2 linked regions of the Callithrix jacchus genome follow. The protein of the gene in region 1 purifies or fractionates together with the protein of each later gene. This does not show direct contact. Links are inferred from orthologs where the notes say so. Each region holds a gene or a part of one and is shown in the gene's direction. Other genes may lie near its edges.

Evidence for each region.
Region 2: the proteins of RAB24 (region 1) and GDI1 purify together in Homo sapiens (affinity purification with mass spectrometry; 3 studies listed by BioGRID and IntAct, counting the BioPlex papers as one, with this or other methods). This does not show direct contact. The link is inferred for Callithrix jacchus from reciprocal best matches to the Homo sapiens genes RAB24 and GDI1.

Annotation. Positions count from the first base shown.
Region 1 is NC_133503.1:68,847,532-68,851,768, forward strand, and holds RAB24 (ras-related protein Rab-24), read left to right. Parts: upstream 1-1,234; 5' UTR 1,235-1,658; coding exon 1,659-1,775; intron 1,776-1,858; coding exon 1,859-1,927; intron 1,928-2,121; coding exon 2,122-2,200; intron 2,201-2,305; coding exon 2,306-2,373; intron 2,374-2,453; coding exon 2,454-2,553; intron 2,554-2,770; coding exon 2,771-2,821; intron 2,822-2,960; coding exon 2,961-3,013; coding exon of another isoform or gene 3,014-3,023; intron 3,024-3,135; coding exon 3,136-3,279; 3' UTR 3,280-3,494; downstream 3,495-4,237. Other genes in the region: PRELID1 (PRELI domain-containing protein 1, mitochondrial), read right to left, coding at 108-333, 872-963.
Region 2 is NC_133524.1:150,231,587-150,236,040, forward strand, and holds the start of GDI1 (rab GDP dissociation inhibitor alpha), read left to right. Parts: upstream 1-1,505; 5' UTR 1,506-1,588; coding exon 1,589-1,633; intron 1,634-2,843; coding exon 2,844-2,951; intron 2,952-3,076; coding exon 3,077-3,176; intron 3,177-3,285; coding exon 3,286-3,420; intron 3,421-3,906; coding exon 3,907-4,105; intron 4,106-4,363; coding exon 4,364-4,454. Other genes in the region: ATP6AP1 (V-type proton ATPase subunit S1), read left to right, coding at 115-324. UniProt on the Homo sapiens protein: Regulates the GDP/GTP exchange reaction of most Rab proteins by inhibiting the dissociation of GDP from them, and the subsequent binding of GTP to them. Promotes the dissociation of GDP-bound Rab proteins from the membrane and inhibits their activation.

The DNA of each region.
Region 1 (4,237 bases):
GACCTGCCTCAGACCACAAAAGCTCCCTCATGGCTCTCTAGACACACGTATCTGAAGAGCTCTATTTGGGGGTGGGGGAGGCAGGATCACAGCAGGAGGTGTCTCACCATCAGCCGGGCGTGGTTGATGTTCCAGGTGAAGGTGGTCATGGTCTGATTCTGTGGGTCCACAATAGAGTCCTCCAGGATGTACACCGAGTGAGCAACATTGGCAGGAAACAGTCGCTCGGCCCAGCGAGGCATCCTGTTGGTCTTGGTCAGGAGTCGCCGGGACAGCAGTTTCTGGTCAGGGGTCACCTCCCGGTGTACTATGTCTTCCGTCAAGACATGTTTGCTGCAGGAGTCAGTGAAGGTGGCACTCAGGAGCCTGCCCCGAGACTGCCCGAGGGGATTCCCGTTTGGAATCTCCAAGCCCAGAGAGGCCTTCCTGTAACCTTGCAGAGTTGTATGTGTTATGGTTCACACCAGAGTTAAGAGCCCATCCCAGGGCAAATTCCAACTCCCGCCATCTGGCTGACCTGGATTCCTGGGCCTTCCAGCAGCAATAGACCTCATGATTTACTGCACCTCAGGAAAGTGCCACGAGCAGAGGATAGGATTTCCGACCCCAAGATCCCTCCCAACTCCCCTACTGCCGCCCCTTCTTGTCTCACGACCCTGAGAAAAGAACCTTATATTAAGATATCAAGTAAACCACCACCCAGGCCCAACCTCCCTTCAGGACCTTGCAGGCCTGGCCTGGCCGCTTCCCCGATAAGGTCTACGTAGGATTAGATGTCAACTTCTTTCTGGTCCCATTACTCGGGGATTATCCATACTTTGATCTCCAAATAGCGAGATGGTGGGGTTTTGCTCTCCCAAACACCACGTACCTATAGGGATTCGGGTACCGCTGCCAGAAGGCGGCGAACACTTGGTCCCAGGAACTCCGGAGCAAGCTCTGGCCCAGGAAATACTTCACCATCGTCCCGGCCGGAGCGGGCTCAGCACCCACGCAGCATCAGGGGTGCGGAGCCTGGGAGGCACGCGGGGGCCGGGCCGGGCCGGGGCTCGGCGCACACCCTCCGCCAGGCTCGGGGCTCAGTCACCACCGCACCGCGCCCTAGCAGCTGCCGCCGCCGCCGCCACCGCCATGAGTTGTCCGGCTGCGCGCCACTTCCGGCGCAGCCACACGGTAGCCACCGCTTCCGGCGCTCGCGCCACGTGACGTTGCGGCCCCGCCCCCTCTCCCTCTCGCCCCCTCCCGCGGGAGTCGCGGCGCTGCGGGTAGAAGCCGGGTTGCCGGAGACCCTAGGTTCGATTGGTACTCGAGCCGGAACTGAGTCTAAGCCCGCAGGCGAGCGAATGACGGAGTAGCGAGCTGCACGGCGGCGTGCTGCGCTGTTGAGGACGCTGTCCCGCACGCTCCCAGGCCGCCCCGGGGCTTGGGGTCTTCGAAGGATATTCGGCGCCCGGGGCGGAACAGCGGGGGCACACTGGGAGCTGCCGAAAGTGCAAGGCCACGGCCAGAGCTCGACCCCATCGCGCTGTCTCGAATCGTTGGTTGGCGCCGTTTGGGGTTGGGGTCTGAGGCCTGGGCGCTGCCTGGGCCGAGCGGAGATCCGGGTTCGCCCCCGTCCCCGCTCAGGACCCTGACGTGGCTGAAGCGGCCCCGGGAGCATGAGCGGGCAGCGCGTAGACGTCAAGGTGGTGATGCTGGGCAAGGAGTACGTGGGCAAGACGAGCCTGGTGGAGCGCTACGTGCACGATCGCTTTCTGGTGGGGCCCTATCAGAACGTGAGTGCACCCAGAGGGGCCAGGCACGGTGGGCGGGGGCGTAATCTGCACCTATGGCCCCAATCTCTTCCCTCTCGTTGCAGACCATCGGGGCCGCCTTCGTGGCTAAGGTGATGTCGGTCGGAGACCGGACTGTGACATTAGGTATTTGGGTAAGTTCCCTGGGCATCTATTCTAGGGAGTCTCATTCTTGAGGAGGCTTAGGTCCTGCCTATTACTGATTGATTTGTGGCCTCACAGACTCGTTTCTCATTGACCCGTTTCCTTATCTGGAAAATAGTGGGGTCTGGAGAACATGGCCTTAAGTTTGACTCAGACCAGGGCTGAGCCTGTCCCTCCTCTTTAGGACACAGCAGGCTCTGAGCGCTATGAGGCTATGAGTAGAATCTACTATCGGGGTGCCAAGGCTGCCATCGTCTGCTATGGTAAGGGGGAGTTCTGGGCTGGCCCACAAGAAGAAGTGGGTGCCAGGCTAACCAGAGAACAGCCCCTGATCACTTGGTTGTGTCTCCTGCATGCCCCACACCAAGACCTCACAGACAGCAGCAGCTTTGAGCGAGCAAAGTTCTGGGTGAAGGAACTGCGCAGTCTAGAGGAGGTAGGTGAATAGACTTCACCAGAAGACCAAGGGCTAGGGTTCTGTTGGTCTTTGGAGGTGACGCTTGTCTTGTGTGTCAGGGCTGCCAAATCTACCTATGTGGCACCAAGAGTGACCTGCTGGAAGAAGACCGGAGGCGTCGACGTGTGGACTTCCATGACGTCCAGGATTATGCAGACAGTAGCTGTTCCTCACCCTTTGGGGGGTGGGGGTGTGTGGCTGTCTGGGTGGATCACAGAAAATAGGGACTGCCTTGGCTGCTAGGGCAAGGTACTCTAGAAGGGCTTCCTAGCTTCCTTGAACTGTGGGGTCCAGGAGACTCCCTGAACTGCTAGTCCTCCCTTTTGTCTGCTTATCTAATTCTCAGATATGAGGCTTTAGTCACTTCTCTTTACAGATATCAAAGCTCAGCTCTTTGAAACATCCAGCAAGACAGGCCAGAGTGTGGGTGAGTGCTGTGCTGGGGCCTCACACAGGAACAGGCAGGGGCACCAGAGGAAGCTGAATAGGGAACAGAGGGCTGGGTCACTGGGAGATCCCAGGACTACTGGCATTGGGCCCTCATTGATCATCATTTTTCCTGCCAGATGAGCTCTTCCAGAAAGTGGCAGAGGATTACGTCAGTGTGGCTGCCTTCCAGGTGATGACAGGTGTGCTTCCCAGCCTTTATGGACTTACTCTAGGCCCACAGCATCTAGCCTCTTTTCTGAATTACCTGATCCCAAGAGAATGGTGCTGAGCAGCCACCTCTTTCTTTGACAGAGGACAAGGGCGTGGACCTGGGCCAGAAGGCAAACCCCTACTTTTACAGCTGTTGTCATCACTGATTCACCACTCACCTGGCCTGGGAGAATTAAAGGAGTTCCCCAGAGCGGCTGGACCCAGTTCCTTACTGGGCTTGGGTAGTCAAATGTCTGAGCTAACCCAGGTCCTCATGTCAGCAAAGGTGGCACCTGCCTGTGCTGGCCCATGGAACGGAGGCAGCATTGGGCTGACTGTGGGCATGAGGAGGGATAAGGGCTTATTTGGACCCCAGGCTTCTGCCCTGGACAGCACTTGTGTCTGCAGATTATTTAAGTGGCTTCTGATCTGTAAATAAAATCAATGCACTGTGAATCACACCCAGCCCCTTTCCCTGCTGTGTGAATTGGGTGTCAAGACACCCAGTTCTTTCTGGGGCCACCCAGCTGGCCTCACTGGTTTATATTAAGGTTTTCCTATCTCTCATTTTCCTTTGGAAAACAAGACTTCTCCCCAGGGTTACAACTGAGATACTGGGGCTGGGGTAGTACAAAGCTCACAATTCCTTCCGAGTGCTGCAAAGCGTGTGTGAGCTGTGTTGAGATAAAAGGGTCAAGCATTTTATCCAGGTTGGTCTGACCAGCTCTACTGCATCTGTCATGTTTGGGCCCATATGTCAGACCTGTGACTCAGGTCCTGAGCATCCCAGTGACATCCTACAATGCGGTTTAATGGTAGAAAAGTCCTAAGTTCTGTAAGACAGAAAGGTCTAATGGATCCAGATTTGGTTCCAATTTAGAAAAGGGACTTAAACCCTCAGCTTGAGTTTATCATCTGTAAAATAAGGTGACTACTACACAGCCCAAGGATTGTGAGATCCTAAGTGAAGAGTAATTCTAGTACTAAATGTTTTTCCCAATCTTCCCAAGCACTTTTTGTTGAAAGGGCAGGAAGTTCAGGACTAGGTCACAAGGGGAAACAAACTCCCAAGTGTCCTCCAAAGTATTAGGCCTTGAAGGTCCATATATTTCTGAGGGATCAGGTGTTACTGTAAACAGGACTGACACCTCCTGTTCAACCAGAAGGAAATTTACTGTAGCTATTTCCGGTTTGGGAGGTGTGG
Region 2 (4,454 bases), on another chromosome or scaffold:
AGCCAAGGCTGGTGGTTGAGAGGCAAGGAGAGGCCCAAAGAGTCACAGAATTGCTTGGGCACAGGCTCGGGCCTCCCGACGGTCCTTTCTGACCCCTGTCTGTGTGTCTGCCAGATCCAAGCTTTCAATGTGATGGGCGAGCAGTTCTCCTATGCCAGCGACTGCGCCGGCTTCTTCTCCCCCGGCATATGGATGGGGCTGCTCACCTCCCTCTTCATGCTCTTCATCTTCACCTATGGCCTGCACATGATCCTCAGCCTCAAGACCATGGATCGCTTTGATGACCACAAGGGCCCCACCATTTCTTTGACCCAGATTGTGTGACCCTGTGCCAGGAGGGGGTTGAGGGTGGGACAGTGTCCCTCTTCCTACCACAGCATGAACCCCAAGCTCCCTTTAGCCCATCTTGCTCCCCGTTCAGCCCACTAAGGAGATTTCCTGGGGCTGCCCCCATCCCTACCAACAAGGTGTACATAATTCTGCGTAGATGCTAGACCAATGTCCCAGGCTCAGCCGCGGTGAGGCGTAAGGGACATGAATTCTAGGGTCCCCTTTCTCCTTATTTATTGTGTCTACATCATCCCTGGCTGTGGATAGTGCTTTTATGTAGCAAATGCTCTCTCCTTAAGGTTATGGGGCTCCCTGAGTTTGGGGGTGTGGAGGTACTACTTAACTGTCTGACCTGCTTTGCTGTCGTTATTGTTTTCTGGTGATGCTGTGCTAATGATAAGCAGTACACTGGGGTTTATTTCTGTGGCCTGAGAAGGAAGGGACCTCCACCCCAGGTGGGCTGGGTGCAATCTCCAGCTGTCTGGCATGTTCCCATCGGGAGTGCCTGGCAGGAGCCTGGCGTGCTCGGTTGTTTCCTTCCTAATAAACGCGGATCGCCACGATTTGGGCCTCTTGTAGGTCATTTCTGCACTGGGCTTTAGGTGCGTGCTCGCTGGAGGGATGCGGGAGGATGGAGCCCGGTGAGGAAGAGGTGAGGAAGCATCCGCGGAGACCTGGAGGGGCTTTAGCAGGGTGGGCCCTAACCACTTAGGGCAGGAAGGGGCGGTCGGGCCGAGTCCCGTTACGCTTTGGCGACTCGGGAGGCCGTCGTGACAATGGCAGCCTTCGTATCATGAGGGGGCTGCCCCGGCTGCCGCAGCGGCGCGCACCCGGCCGCGGGACCGCGCCGAGCCTCCCGCGGGGCTGGGCGGGCGCGCGCGGGGCGGGGCGGGGCGGGGAGGATGGGGCGGGGCGCGCGCGGCTCCGCGCACGGATCCTTTCCTAGCCGCAGTACCGGCCGCCAGCCCGCCCCGCCCGCCCCGCCCCGCGCCTCTCTGGACCCTCGGCGAGCAGCGTCGTCCTCGGAGCCGCGCTGGTGCTGTGGCCCGGGCCCTAGCAGGTCTCCTGGGAGGCGAGCTGGGGAAACGGTGGATCTGGCCGGGCGCGGCGGGGCTCGAGAATAGGCGGGACTCTTTGACGAGGCGGAGGGGTCAGGCGGCGACCGAAACGCCGCCATCTTTGGTCCAGTGCTGCGGCGGCGGCGGCGGCGGTGAAGGAGGAGGAGGAGCCGAGCGGGCACTGGCACCGAGGCCTGACCATGGACGAGGAATACGATGTGATCGTGCTGGGGACCGGCCTCACCGTAAGTGCGGCCCCAGGCGCTCTTGGCCCCGTGTCTTGCCCTCGCCACCCCCCGCGATGATGTGGCCGCCGGCCCACCCTCCGGTCACTGCCATCTGATGCGCTCGGCTCTCCAAAAAGCCGGCACCGTGCCCACCCCGCCGCTCCCCGCGCCGCTCCCCCCGCGACGTCGCCTCTGCTTTTTGCTATGACCCCATCTTCCCGAAGGGGCCCCCTTCCTGGCTGCCCGGGTCTGACCCCCGGCACCCTCCCATCTTTCCTACCCCTGTGCCTGCTGGGCCGGAAAATGCACCCCAGCTAAGCCCGGTGCCCCGACCCCGCCCACCCATCGCCCCCACCCATCACGGAATCTCCCCCCCTCCCGCAGGTTGCCCGCACCCATCGCCCGCTTAGCGTCCCTTCCCATCTTGCGCTAATCCCGGTAGGGACAGGGACATGGGGTCAGGGGGCCTCCTCAGGGTGGGCCCTCAGCCCACCTCCTCGTCTTCTGGGGCCAGGGGATCCAGGGAATGTTCCAGAAGGAGCAGCGGTGGGGGCAGTAAGCACATTCCCTCAACCCCACCCCGGTTGCCTATGGAGACCTCAGGCTGAGTAGCATCTGCAGCCTTTGTCCTTGGGCTAGTGACAGTGACGGGTGAGGGTATTTATCTTCCCCTTTTCCCCAAAAACCCCGTTGGCCCGCTCCCCAGAGAGACTCTTCTTTCTCAGTCCAAGCCCAGATGCCCCTCATCAGCAGCAGGGTCTCCCGCCATTTGAAGAAAGATCAGTCCAGGGTGGGGCCTACAATTTCAAGGACTGCGCTAAGCCTTTCTTCACCTCCCTTTCGAGTGTCCTTCGCAGTCCAGCTAGGTCTCGTCTGCGCCTCATTGTGTTTTAACAGCCTTTCTGTGCAGCTCTGCGTAGATACATGTCCATTGGCTTGTGGGTACTGGAAGGCCATCCTGTGTCTGCTGGATGCCCTGCCTCTCTCAGAGCCTCCATTATTTCACTGCCTACCTTGTGAGGGGGATGGGACTCCTTTGCCCAGCAAGGTTACAAAGGAGACGGTGGTCAGATGAAGCTGTCACCCCAATTTTAGGCGAGGCAACTAGCTGGTTTGAGGGGGTGGAAGGAGCTGTCCACTGGATCAGGTTTGGGTGGGGAACAAATCAGGGCTGCTGGTAGGAAGGGAGGCAGGTAGGAGTGAGAGGATGGTATTGCCCTCCCTCCAGGAATGCATCCTGTCGGGCATCATGTCTGTGAACGGGAAGAAGGTGCTGCACATGGACCGGAACCCCTACTATGGGGGTGAGAGCTCCTCCATCACACCCCTGGAGGAGGTGAGACATCTGGGCCCAGGCCCATCCCTGTTCACCTCCCACGTAGCGGCACAGGGTAGAAGAAGCTCCCCAGGTGCCTGGAGCAGGAGGAGATGGTCCCTGAGGTGTCTCTCTTCTGCTTACAGCTGTATAAGCGTTTTCAGTTGCTGGAGGGGCCCCCTGAGTCGATGGGCCGAGGCCGAGACTGGAACGTTGACCTCATTCCCAAATTCCTCATGGCTAACGGTGAGGGACAGGAAGGACATATTGCAGGTCGGGGTGATGGGGAGGTGCAGCCAGACCAGCAGAGACTCTGGAGAGAGCAGTGCCGATGTTGCCCCATGCACACCCACAGGGCAGCTGGTAAAGATGCTACTGTATACAGAGGTGACTCGCTATCTGGACTTCAAGGTGGTGGAGGGCAGCTTTGTCTACAAGGGGGGCAAGATCTACAAAGTACCGTCCACTGAGACTGAGGCCTTGGCTTCCAGTGAGTGTGGGCCCCCTGAGCCAGAGAATCATGGGGTGGCAGGGAAGTTGACTGTCCTTGGGATGGGTGGCTGTCCAGAGTAAGGCACCCCCTTGTCCAAAGTCACATTCCCCATGAAGAACCAGAGGCCCTTCACTCTGTATCCTCTCTGCCCCATGCCATGCCTCACGGATGGCTGCCAGGAGAGAGGCCTACACGCAGCAGGGATGTGACGTGGAGGAGGACAGGGCTCCTTTGGAAAGACTTGACCTTTTGGCAGGGGCTCCACTGGATCCCCGAGACATCCCCAAATGTCCGAGCAAGGAAGGCCCTTAGAGCCATCCAGGCCAGTCCCCTCTTCATAGAGGCAGGGAAACCGAGGCTGAAAAGAGCGGAGGGGTTGAGCTAAGGTCCCACAACAGCTACACTGGGAGTGGGGCCCTGCCCTTTGGGAAGGAGAGTTTTGTGCTGCGCTGGTGCAGAACCTCGTCCTGCCGCCTGCCTTAGATCTGATGGGCATGTTTGAGAAACGGCGCTTCCGCAAGTTCCTGGTGTTTGTGGCAAACTTCGATGAGAATGACCCCAAGACCTTTGAGGGTGTTGACCCTCAGACTACCAGCATGCGTGATGTCTACCGAAAGTTTGATCTGGGCCAGGATGTCATCGATTTCACTGGCCACGCCCTGGCGCTCTACCGCACTGATGAGTGAGGGAAGCTGGTGTGGCGGCAGCCCCCTCGCCCGGCCTGCCTCCTCCCTCCCCACACCTGCCTGCTGTTCCCCTGCCCCGCATGTCTCTTGTACTCAGCCATAGGCTCACCTATCACCCTTTCCATTTCCCCCTTGCATTTGATCTTCATGTTCCCTAGGCCATTCAGGGTGGTGGGAAGACTGGCCTGGTACCTGGGTGGTGGTGAGTCAAGGGTGCTGCTATTGGAGCATCTTCCCTTACCCCTGTCCCCCAGCTACTTGGACCAGCCCTGTCTTGAGACCATCAACCGCATCAAGTTGTACAGTGAGTCCCTGGCCCGGTATGGCAAGAGCCCGTATTTATAC